Macaca mulatta: one gene and its partners. The protein of the gene in region 1 interacts with the protein of each later gene in a biochemical or structural test. Links are inferred from orthologs where the notes say so. Each region holds a gene or a part of one and is shown in the gene's direction. Other genes may lie near its edges.

The links.
Region 2: the proteins of PDZD2 (region 1) and PKP4 form a complex in vitro, tested with the Homo sapiens proteins (2 studies listed by BioGRID and IntAct, with this or other methods). The link is inferred for Macaca mulatta from reciprocal best matches to the Homo sapiens genes PDZD2 and PKP4.
Region 3: the proteins of PDZD2 (region 1) and CTNND2 form a complex in vitro, tested with the Homo sapiens proteins (2 studies listed by BioGRID and IntAct, with this or other methods). The link is inferred for Macaca mulatta from reciprocal best matches to the Homo sapiens genes PDZD2 and CTNND2.

The regions. Positions count from the first base shown.
Region 1 is NC_133411.1:33,459,893-33,463,542, forward strand, and holds part of PDZD2 (PDZ domain-containing protein 2), read left to right. Parts: coding exon 1-3,650.
Region 2 is NC_133417.1:63,526,922-63,530,571, forward strand, and holds part of PKP4 (plakophilin-4), read left to right. Parts: intron 1-1,001; coding exon 1,002-1,193; intron 1,194-1,374; coding exon 1,375-1,548; intron 1,549-3,650. UniProt on the Homo sapiens protein: Plays a role as a regulator of Rho activity during cytokinesis. May play a role in junctional plaques.
Region 3 is NC_133411.1:12,535,686-12,539,335, reverse strand, and holds part of CTNND2 (catenin delta-2), read left to right. Parts: coding exon 1-420; intron 421-3,650. UniProt on the Homo sapiens protein: Has a critical role in neuronal development, particularly in the formation and/or maintenance of dendritic spines and synapses. Involved in the regulation of Wnt signaling.

The DNA.
Region 1 (3,650 bases):
CCTCAGACCTCATCTCTTCCCCAGGAAAGAAGGGGGCCGCTTATCCTGACCCCAGCAAGACCTCTGTAGACACAGGGCGAGTCAGTCGGCCGGAGAATCCCAGTCAGTCTGCATCACCCAGGGTCGCCGAGTACAAGGCCAGGTCTCCAGTCAGGCTGCCCCATGAGGGCAGCCCCTCCCTGGGGGAGAAAGCAGTGGCTCCCCCCGACCGCAGCAAGACTCGATCAGCATCGGAAACCAGCACACCCCACAATACCAGGAGGGCGGCTTTCCTCAGGGGAGCGGGACCTGGGGCAGAGGGAGTGACAGCAGCTGGGGCTGTCCTGCCAGGAGACCCCCTCACATCCCAGGAGCAGAGACAGGGAGCTCCGGGTAACCACAGTAAGGCTCTGGAAATGACAGGAACCCGTGCACCTGAAAGCTCCCAGGAGCCTTCCCTGTTGGAGGGAGCAGATTCTGTGTCCTCAAAGGCACCGCAGGCCAGCCTCTCCCTTCTGCCATCCACTGACAACACCAAAGCAGCATGTGGCCGTGTCTCGGGGCAGTGTTGCCCGGCGGGGAGTGGAGAGAGCCCTGTGACGGACATTGACAGCTTCATCAAGGAGTTGGATGTTTCTGCAGCGAGGTCTCCATCTTCCCAGACGGGGGACAGTGGCTGTCAGGAGGGCAGTGCTCAGGGCCGGCCACCAGCCGGGGCTGGAGGTGGGAGCTCCTGCCGTGCCGAACCAGTCACAGGGGGCCAGACCTCCTCCCCAAGGAGGGCCTGGGCTGCTGGTGCCCCCCCTCACCCACAGTGGGCCTCCCAGCCTTCGGTTTTAGATTCAGTTAATCCCGACAAACATTTTACTGTGAACAAAAACTTTTTGAGCAACTACTCTAGAAATTTTAGCAGCTTTCATGAAGACAGCACCTCCCTATCAGGCCTGGGCGATAGCACGGAGCCGTCTCTGTCATCCATGTATGGCGATGCTGAGGATTCTTCTTCTGACCCTGAGTCACTCACCGAAGCCCCACGAGCTTCCGCCAGGGACGGCTGGTCCCCTCCTCGTTCCCGTGTGTCTTTGCACAAGGAAGATCCTTCGGAGTCGGAAGAGGAACAGATTGAAATTTGTTCCACAAATGGCTGCCCCAATCCACCCTCGAGTCCTGCTCATCTTCCCACCCAGGCTGCCATCTGTCCTGCCTCAGCCAAAGTTCTATCATTAAAATACAGCACTCCGAGAGTGTCAGTGGCCAGTCCCCGTGAGAAGGCTGCCTGCTTGCCAGCCTCATACACTTCAGGCCCAAACTCTTCCCAGCCATCTTCACTCTTGGAAGTGAGCTCTCAGGAGCATGAAAGTCATGTGAACATAAGCGCTTCACAGAACCACAGGCCCTCGTGTGCAGAAGAAACCACGGAAGTCACCAGCGCTAGCTCAGCCATGGAAAACAGTCAGCTGTCTAAAGTAGCCAGGCATTTTCACAGTGCGCCCATCATTCTCAGCTCCCCCAACATGGTAAACGGCTTGGCACGTGACATGCTAGATGATGAAACCCTGAATCAGTACGAAACAAGCATTAATGCAGCTGCCAGTCTGTCCTCCTTCAGTGTGGATGTCCCTAAGAATGGAGAATCTGCTTTGGAAAACCTCCACATCTCTGAAAGTCAAGACCTCGATGACTTGCTACAGAAACCCAAGATGATGGGTAGGAGGCCCATCATGGCCTGGTTCAAAGAAATAAATAAACATAACCAAGGCACACATTTGAAGAGCAAAACCGAGAAGGAACAACCTCTGATGGCTGTCAGAAGTCCCGACTCCAAGATTCAGATAGTGAGTTCAAGCCAAAAAAAGGGCGTTGCTGTGCCTCCTAGCCCTCCTCAGCCGAAAACCAATCTGGAAAATAAGGACCTGTCTAAGAAGAGTCCGGCAGAAGTGCTTCCGACTAACGGTCAGAAGCCAAAGTGTGGTCCGAAGCTGAAGAGGCTCAGCCTCAAGGGCAAGGCCAAAGTCAGCTCCGAGGCCCCTGCTGCGAACGCCGTGAAGGCTGGGGGGACGGACCACAGGAAACCCTTGATCTCACCCCAGACCTCCCACCAAACACTTTCTAAGGTGGTGTCACAGCGGCTCCATGCAGCCGACCGCGAGGACCCTGACAGAAACACCACAGCCGCCCCCAGGTCCCCGCAGTGTGTGCTGGACAGCAAGCCACCTCTTGCCACCTCTGGGTCCCTGAAACCCTCAGTGTCTGACACGAGCATCAGGATGTTCGTGTCGCCCCTGACCTCTCCCAAGCCTCCTCCTGAGCAAGGCGTGTGGAGCAGGTTCCACGTGGCTGTCCTCTCTGAACCTGACAGAGGTTGCCCAGCCACCCCTAAATCTCCTAAGTGTGGAGCAGAGGGCAGGGCGCCCCGTGCTGACTCTGGGCCGGTGAGTTCCACAGCATCTAGGAACGGCGTGTCCGTGGCAGGGAACAGACAGAGTGAGCAGCACCTGGCCAGCCACATGGACTCGGCAGCAGACACAGCCCAACCCAGGCCAACTGGCGAAAAAGGAGGCAGCATAGTGGCCAGCGATCGCCTTGAAAGAACAAACCAGCTGAAAATTGTGGAGATTTCTGCTGAAACAGTGCCAAAGACTGTATGTGGTAACAGGCCAGCTGAAAGTGACAGACAGGGAGGGTGCTTGGCCCAGGGCAACTGTCAGGAGAAGAGTGAAATCAGGCTCTGTCGCCAGGTCACAGAATCATCCACAAGTCACCCGTCCTCACTCCCGTCTCATGCCCCACAGGCGGAGCAGGAAATGTCACGATCATTCGGCGTGGCGAAACTGGTCTCCTCCTCCTCCTCCCCTCAAATGCCCATTAGAAAGGCAGATTCCTCCCAGGGAAAATCAAGCCTGATGTCAGACTCCCTAGGGCTGCCCAGAAGTGGCATTCTAGGGGGGCCCTCGGGGGAGGACCATCTCTACTTCACCCCAAGGCCAGCAACCAGGACCTACTCCATGCCAGCCCAGTTCTCAAGCCATTTTGGACGGGAGAGTCACCCCCCACACAGTCTGGGTCGCTCTCCTCGTGACAGCCACGTCCCTGTGACAAGCAGTGTTGTCCCCGAGGCAAAGGCATCCAGAGGTGGTCTTCCCAGCCTGGCTGACGGACAGGGCGTATATAGTGTAAAGCCGCTGCTGGAAACATCGAGGAATCTTCCAGCCACAGATGAAGGGGATATCATTTCAGTCCAGGAGACGAGCTGCCTAGTCACAGACAAAATCAAAGTCACCAGACGACACTACTGCTATGAGCAGAACTGGCCCCACGAATCTACCTCATTTTTCTCTGTGAAGCAGCGGATCAAGTCTTTTGAGAACCTGGCCAATGCTGACCGGCCTGTAGCCAAGTCCGGGGTTTCTCCATTTTTGTCGGTGAGCTCCAAGCCTCCCATTGGGAGGCGGTCTTCCGGCAGCATTGTTTCAGGGAGCCTGGGCCACCCAGGTGATGCAGCAGCAAGGTCGTTGAGACGCAGCTTGAGTTCCTGCAGCGAAAACCAAAGTGAAGCCGGCACCCTCCTCCCCCAGATGGCCAAGTCTCCCTCAAGCATGACACTGACCATCTCCCGGCAGAACCCACCGGAGACCAGTAGCAAGGGCTCTGATTCGGAACTAAAGAAATCA
Region 2 (3,650 bases), on another chromosome or scaffold:
GCACCTCTCTACACCCACTCCTGCTGCTGCCCTGTGGTTGGTCTGTCCCCAGCATGAGCCCCTTACCCTCTCCCTCCTGTGTCCGAGTGCAGGGCGTTCTGCTCATCATTTGTCAGCTGTGACGACCATCCAGGATCTTCCTGGGGACCGAGGAAAGTGGGAAGTACAGGAAAGAGAGACTGAAAGTGTCAGGACTTTCAAAGCGAGCCAGATACTTGGTGTCAGGATGGACTGGACTAGGAGAGGCCTTTGGAAGGTGTTGGATTGTAAGGGTGAGCCTGAGAGGAAAAAGGATGATAAGTGCCTGGGAAAAGAGAGAGGAATACAAGGGAACACTTTTTGTTTGAGCCTCATTGAACCAGGAGATCTGCAGATGAAATTGAGAGGAGTAAGCAAGTTGGAAAGGGAAGCTTGCTAGATAGGCAAATGCTGAACTTGGTTTTAGGCACTCAGTTAAATGACAGTTGGCCTCCCAATCAGAGGTGTGATAACAGTCTTTTAGGGAACAAAAGACCGTGTGCAGAAGGCAAATGTCAACAGGGAAAGACACCTCTGAACATGGCTCAAAAGAAGGGTGGAGTTGGGAGATTGAGAAGGAGGCAGACATGGAACTTGGGGATATGGTTGTCCCCAGGGAGGGAGTTGGGGCATCTGTTGTCATGCCAAGGATCTGCAGTAGTGAGAAGTGAGGCTCAGGCGTCTTGGGTGCAGCCTGCACGGCAGCAGCCCTGAGGAGAAACACTGGGCCGGAGCCTCATGCATTGCAGTCGGCATGAAGTCAAATCCTCAGCAGGACTGAGAAAGGCTCTGCATCCCGTCATCTGGGTATTCCACAAACACTCTAGAATCATAATTCCCTCTTCAGATTGTTTCAAGTTCCCAAAAATAAAAAGTAGTTCTTTCATATTTCCCATATATTTCCTGTCTGCAGTGTTCAGTACAGAAGTGTTTTGCTCTAATGTGCTGAGTTGTTTTTAATTATATGCCATGCTGGGTTTCAGACAGTGGAGAACTGCGTGTGCACCCTGAGGAACCTGTCCTATCGGCTAGAGCTGGAGGTGCCCCAGGCCCGGTTACTGGGACTGAACGAATTGGATGACTTACTAGGAAAAGAGTCTCCCAGCAAAGACTCTGAGCCAAGCTGCTGGGGGAAGAAGAAGAAAAAGAAAAAGAGGACTCCGCAAGAAGACCAAGTTAGCATTTTATCTGATATGAGACTCACGTTTCATTTTTCTGGGAGTGAGGAATCACATATTTGGCAAGAAAATAAATTTTCTGCATAGCTATAGCTGAGTCCCGCAAAGGTGAATGTTTTCAAGTATTGAAGATCATGTTCATTCTGCCTCCATTTAACATGTGCTATTTGTCTTTCAGTGGGATGGAGTTGGTCCTATCCCAGGATTGTCAAAGTCCCCCAAAGGGGTTGAGATGCTGTGGCACCCATCGGTGGTAAAACCATATCTGACTCTTCTAGCAGAAAGTTCCAACCCAGCCACCTTGGAAGGCTCTGCCGGGTCTCTCCAGAACCTCTCTGCTGGCAACTGGAAGGTAGGATGACTTCCGCGTATCTACACTTCTTTCCATCTTTGCAAATTAACTTGAAATGTTACATGTATATGTTCTGCCTCAGTCAGATCAGCCCTGATGATGAAATGGTCACAGTTACTTAGTTTGTCTGTGAAGGGGGTAAAGGGAAAAAAGGGAGACATGCAGTTGCTCTGGGGATCCAAAGATAAATACAAGTCCCTCACTGTGAGAAACAGAAGGCTAGTGAGAAAAATAGATGGTGCCAGCACAGTGTAGAAGCCACAGGATGTGTGTGTTGTGGGGTCCTGAAAGAAGACATCTAACCCAGCCACACAGTGTAAGGGAAGGTCAGGAAAAATGCGGAGTGAGGACATGGAGGAGATTTCCTGAAGGGGATGCTGCCCAGCAGAATCTCTAAGGATGAATGAAAGTAAGCCAGTAGAGGCTGAGGCTGCAGTATAGAGGGAGCCATCCAGATAACAGGGACAATAGGAGGAAAGTATCGCGGTGCAGAGAAGACAGTGTGGGCCAGGACTACTGGCTGCCCTCTGGGGCCCAGTGTGGAGCCAGGCATCATGGATAGGCCTGAAGGCCAAATTTCAGGAGCTGAGTCCTAACCTGCACACAGGAGGGGCTACTGAAAGAGTCTGGGCAAATGAGTGACAGAGACGGGCTAATGTCATCACTGCTCACCCACTTACATGGCAGTGCAAAAGGTGGATTCAAGGAAGGGAGAGTTAGAAGCAGGGATTGCATTTGGGAGCCAGTGCAGCAGTACAAACAGGTGAGAGATCTTGAGTGGCAGAACAGAACACAGGTTGGGCAGTGCTGTGGGGAGGGATAGAGGACCTCACTCTGTTCCTCTCAGGTAGTTACAGGCATGCCTGTGTCTAAGGTTTCTGCATCTCTTTGCAGATGTATGACTATAAAAACTGAAGACAGTTTCCTCTTGTTACCACTGTAAGCAAGTTCTCAGAACTTTCTAAATGTCCCCCAGCAACTTCCCAGACAGTCCTTGTCTAAGACATTTTCAACCTCTAGAAATTTCCTGACAGGTGTATTTTGTAGCGTTTACGATGCTTGCTTTTGGCTACTTATCCCACCTTAACCCCCCAAAATGAGAATCTTTTGGTGATAGTGTTTTCAAGATAGTGAAAAGAATTGATAAACCTAGGTATGGTTTGTTTCATGCAAGTGGCCACTATGTTGAATATAGACCGATAACTATGGTCTAGTGCTAAGCCAGTATGGTGATTTTGTTGTGGCTCCTAGTTAAAGTGCCAGTGACTCCATGTGTAAGTGCTGGCTCTGAATCCAGGCAACTCTGCTTACCGTCTGGCAGCCTAGAGGCTCTGCCCACAGTTTCCACCTCCCTAAAATAAAGCGAATATTAATACCTGCCTTATAAGGTGGTTGTGAGGATTTAGTGAGATACTCCCAGCACATAGGTATTTATATAAACATTTATGTTGTAGAACAGCCTTCACCTTCAGCTTCTGTGACCAGAAGATTATTTGATGACACTAAAAAAGACAATAATTGAAATCGATGTGATTTGAGTTGTTTCGAAGTTCGTGTCTGGGATCATTTAGTGAGAGTTAGATGGCAAGCTCATTTAAAATATAAACATTATATCTAAGCGATTTCAATAGTGAGTTAAAATATTGGACCTTCACTAAGAAAATGAGATAATCGTGGCCACAAGTGTTATCAAGTAAGAAGCTATTTCAGGAGCAGCAATGGCTGTAGTTCTCCAGAAGGGAGACAGACTGGGCTGGGCTGAGCTGGGCTAGGCTGGGCTGGGCTGGGCTGGGCTGGGCTGGGCTGGGCTGGTAGGTCTCCAAGTGAGACAGAAGGAGATGGTTCTGTTGTTGCAGGTTTCAGAGAGAGAAGTTCATAAAACTGCCTGAGTGCTTTGCCCAGTAACAAGTCAAGTACTTCATTTCCCCCCTGTAGACTTCATTTGATTTGAAAAATAGGAGTATGCATTTCATATGCAGAATATAAATAGGATCTTTGAAATGCATCTTTCCCTCTTATTTGTATTATTAAAATAATCTATTCTGTTGGTATTCAAGAAACTGGATGGTCAATCACATATTTTAATGTTCAAAATAATACAA
Region 3 (3,650 bases), about 21 Mb from region 1:
ACTACTCCAGCTCCACGCTGCCCGCGCCGCCGCGCGGGGGCTCCCCACTGGCCGCGCCCCAGGGCGGCTCGCCCACCAAGCTGCAGCGCGGCGGCTCGGCCCCCGAGGGCGCCACCTACGCCTCGCCGCGCGGCTCCTCGCCCAAGCAGTCGCCCAGCCGCCTGGCCAAGTCCTACAGCACCAGCTCGCCCATCAACATCGTCGTGTCCTCGGCCGGCCTGTCCCCGATCCGCGTGACCTCGCCCCCCACCGTGCAGTCCACCATCTCCTCCTCGCCCATCCACCAGCTGAGCTCCACCATCGGCACGTACGCCACCCTGTCGCCCACCAAGCGCCTGGTCCACGCGTCCGAGCAGTACAGCAAGCACTCGCAGGAGCTGTATGCCACGGCCACCCTCCAGAGGCCGGGCAGCCTGGCAGGTAAAGGCTCGCTGCCACCTGGCGCGGCTCACCTGGGCGCGTGGCGGGGGCGCGGAGGCAGCAGCCGGCTAGAGCAGAAGCGAAGCCGGGAGCGCTGTCGGCCAGGTTGCAGTAGTGACAGGAGATAGAGAACGCCAGGGCTTCCCTGGAACAAGTCGGTATCTTGCCTACAGTTTGTCAGTGACTTCTCTTGGGGAGTAATGTGGTGTCTCAATCTCTAACACCTGTCTCACTCTCTTCTCTCCTCTCTTCTCTCTCTGCCCTCGCCCCAATCTAAAGACTAAATCATAAAAGTAATACACATTTAGGAAAGCATTCCATGGACCTGTTGATGGTATCCAGAAAAAAGTAAAACAAGTAACATTTGCAATATTGACAGGGTCACCTTTAGTTTTCTACATGTCTACATTTCATTGTGGAAAAAGTAAGGGATTTTCCCAAATTAGACGTTCAGCTTACATAGTTTTCAATGGTAGTGGGGAAATAACGAATAATGAATTGCCTTGAATTATTACCCGTTTGTTTTGGCTTGAATTTATTTACATCTTTGCTAAATTAGTTATTGGGAAAAGTAACGGACTCTCCCATACCTGCCATTGGATATACTTGGGTCCTAACACTTGGGACAAAGTCAGCAATGATGCAGTCCCTTGAATTTGTACCTGCTTTATTACAGGGAGGGAGGAGCTGGGTTGGGGGAGACAAACCTGCTTTCCTCTGCCAATTTAGAGGAGGTGACATTTCTGTGGTTGTTATGCCCGTCAGCGACCAGGCTGAGCTGGTGCCTCTCTGCTGTTAGCACCATATGCTCAGCTTAAACAAGACACCATGATTGAAAGACTAATGTTTTGTCTTCTGAAACACCTGACAACTAACCCGGATTTATTGTGAATTTTTTTCCCTTATAGAAGTATTTGGTAATTGTGTCACTCTAGTAACAGATGCTGTGCTCATATGCTTCCTTTCTTGACACAAATAGATGACTGTGAAGATAAATAGGATTAAAAAAAAAGGAACTTGTTGCATGCACAAGGCAGGTGGCCAAGGGCTTCTTTAATTCAGCACAGTTAATTGCCAGTGTGGACTGGCCTGGCCTAACAGGACTCAGGCTGGAGTGCCGCTGCCCACAAAATTGTGCTAGCTACATTTACTGAAATGAAAATATTCTCTCACTCACTGCCTCTCTCTCTTAAATAGAATTTTTGAGGTAGACAATTATTAGTGCCAACCAAGTGTGAGTACCAAAATCTTAATGCTGTAGGGACTCAGGAGTAGCGATCTGCTTAGAAAAGGGGGCGGGGGAACATGTACTGAAACTTCATGTATATGATTCTGTAAAATAATTTACCAGATCATGTCAAGAAATGGGAGATGGGTAGAGTTCTTATGGGACTCCATGACACCCTTCTCAGCCATGCCCACCACCACGGAGAAGAGCAGACTGAGGCGCCAGGAGTCCAGGTGGCCTACTACAGGCCATTTCATTTCTTATACTTATCTCATGAAAGAAATCAGGAGTCTTAGCTTCCAGTTCTTCCTCACACAGGTGATATGTGTAGACTTTTGCATGTTCTACTCTATCATTTCAGTAGCAATCGAGAGGGTGACCACATGGCTGAAGATACCTGTGGAGAGGTTAGGGGAGGGTGAATGGAGCTGAATAGAGCCAACAGCTCCTATCATTGTGTCTAAGAAGGGGCTGTAAAAGTACATTGTAAAAATAACTTGTGTTGCACTTGGGTTACACTGTGGCCCAGGTAAGGTATAAGGGACAAACCCTATGCTTCTGAGAGATTAGAAATATTGGAACTCCGAGACCCCCATGCCTTATTTGGTTTGCTTGATACCATTTGAGGTGTTGTGAAGTTGGGAGCTACTTGGTTTGCTAGTTGAAAGAGCACAGTTAGGTCACGATGGCAAAACAGCTTTTGGAATTTCGGGGTTGTGATTTTAGAGATTTGTCACTGATGACTAGGAAGGGTAGATAAAGGATAAGTAGTGACTTTCACTAATTCATCATTCTGTACACACACACACACACACATACACAGAGTCTCACTCTATTCGTTGCCCAGGCTGGAGTGCAGTGGTGCGATCTTGGTTCACTGCAACATCCACCTCCTGGGTTCAAGCAATTCTCCTGCCTCAGCCTCCCAATAGTGGGATTACAGGCGCCTGCCCCTATACCTAGCTAATTTTTGTATGTTTTGTAGAGACTGGGTTTCACCATGTTGGCCAGGCCAGTCTCAACCTCCTGACCTCAAGTGATCTGCTCGCTTTGGCCTCCCAAAGTGCTGGGATTATAGGCCTGAGCCACCGCACGTGGCCACCTTCGATAATTACCTTTAAGCACCTTTTATGTACTGCCACTGATTTAGATCCCAGGGATGAAGTATCAGCCCAAATCTCTGGCCTTGTTTCAAATGAGGAAGACAGAAAATTATCCAAATACTTTTGATAGATGGCCAGGGAAGGTTCTAATTAGGAAGTGACTTTTTAATATATAATTTCCAACTTTTATTTTAGATTCAGGGGGTACCTCTCTGGGTTTGTTAGCTGGGTATATTGCATGATGCTGAGGTTTGGGGTACAGTTGATCCTGTCACCCAGGTACTGAGCATAGTACCCAGTAGTTTGTTTTTGGGTTTCCAGTGATGCCATTAGTTAGTACACAGTACTTATACAGAAGGTAAGTTTGAATCTGTCCTCACATAGGTGAGTGAGCTGGCCCTATGACTATCTGGGAGAAGGTTTTCTAAGCAGAAGGAACAGCAAATTCAAGGGCTTATAAATGGGGGTGTGTCTGATATGTTTGCTGAGTAGCAAGGAGACCAGGGGGGTTAATCAGAGAGAACAAGAGCAAACACGTGACTTGAGGTCAGTGAGGTGGGAGTGGAAGGCCAAGTCTGAGAGGCCTTGTACTTTACGTATGTTACATAAATAATGTACTTTACATATGTTACATAAATAATTACATACATTACATAAATAATGTAACATATGTAAAGTACCAGCACATTTTCTGGCTCAATAGAAGTTAACTCGTATTAACCTAAGTAATACCTACCATACTACCTTGGGTGTGCAAGGAAGAAGTCATCCATCTTTGCTTCAGACATAGAGCAGGTTTATTGAATCCCAAAACATGTCAGTGTCTGTGTTGGACATATGCAGATAAGTGAGGCATAACCCCTGGTTTCAAGAGACCTACTTTCAGACTGGACACAGGA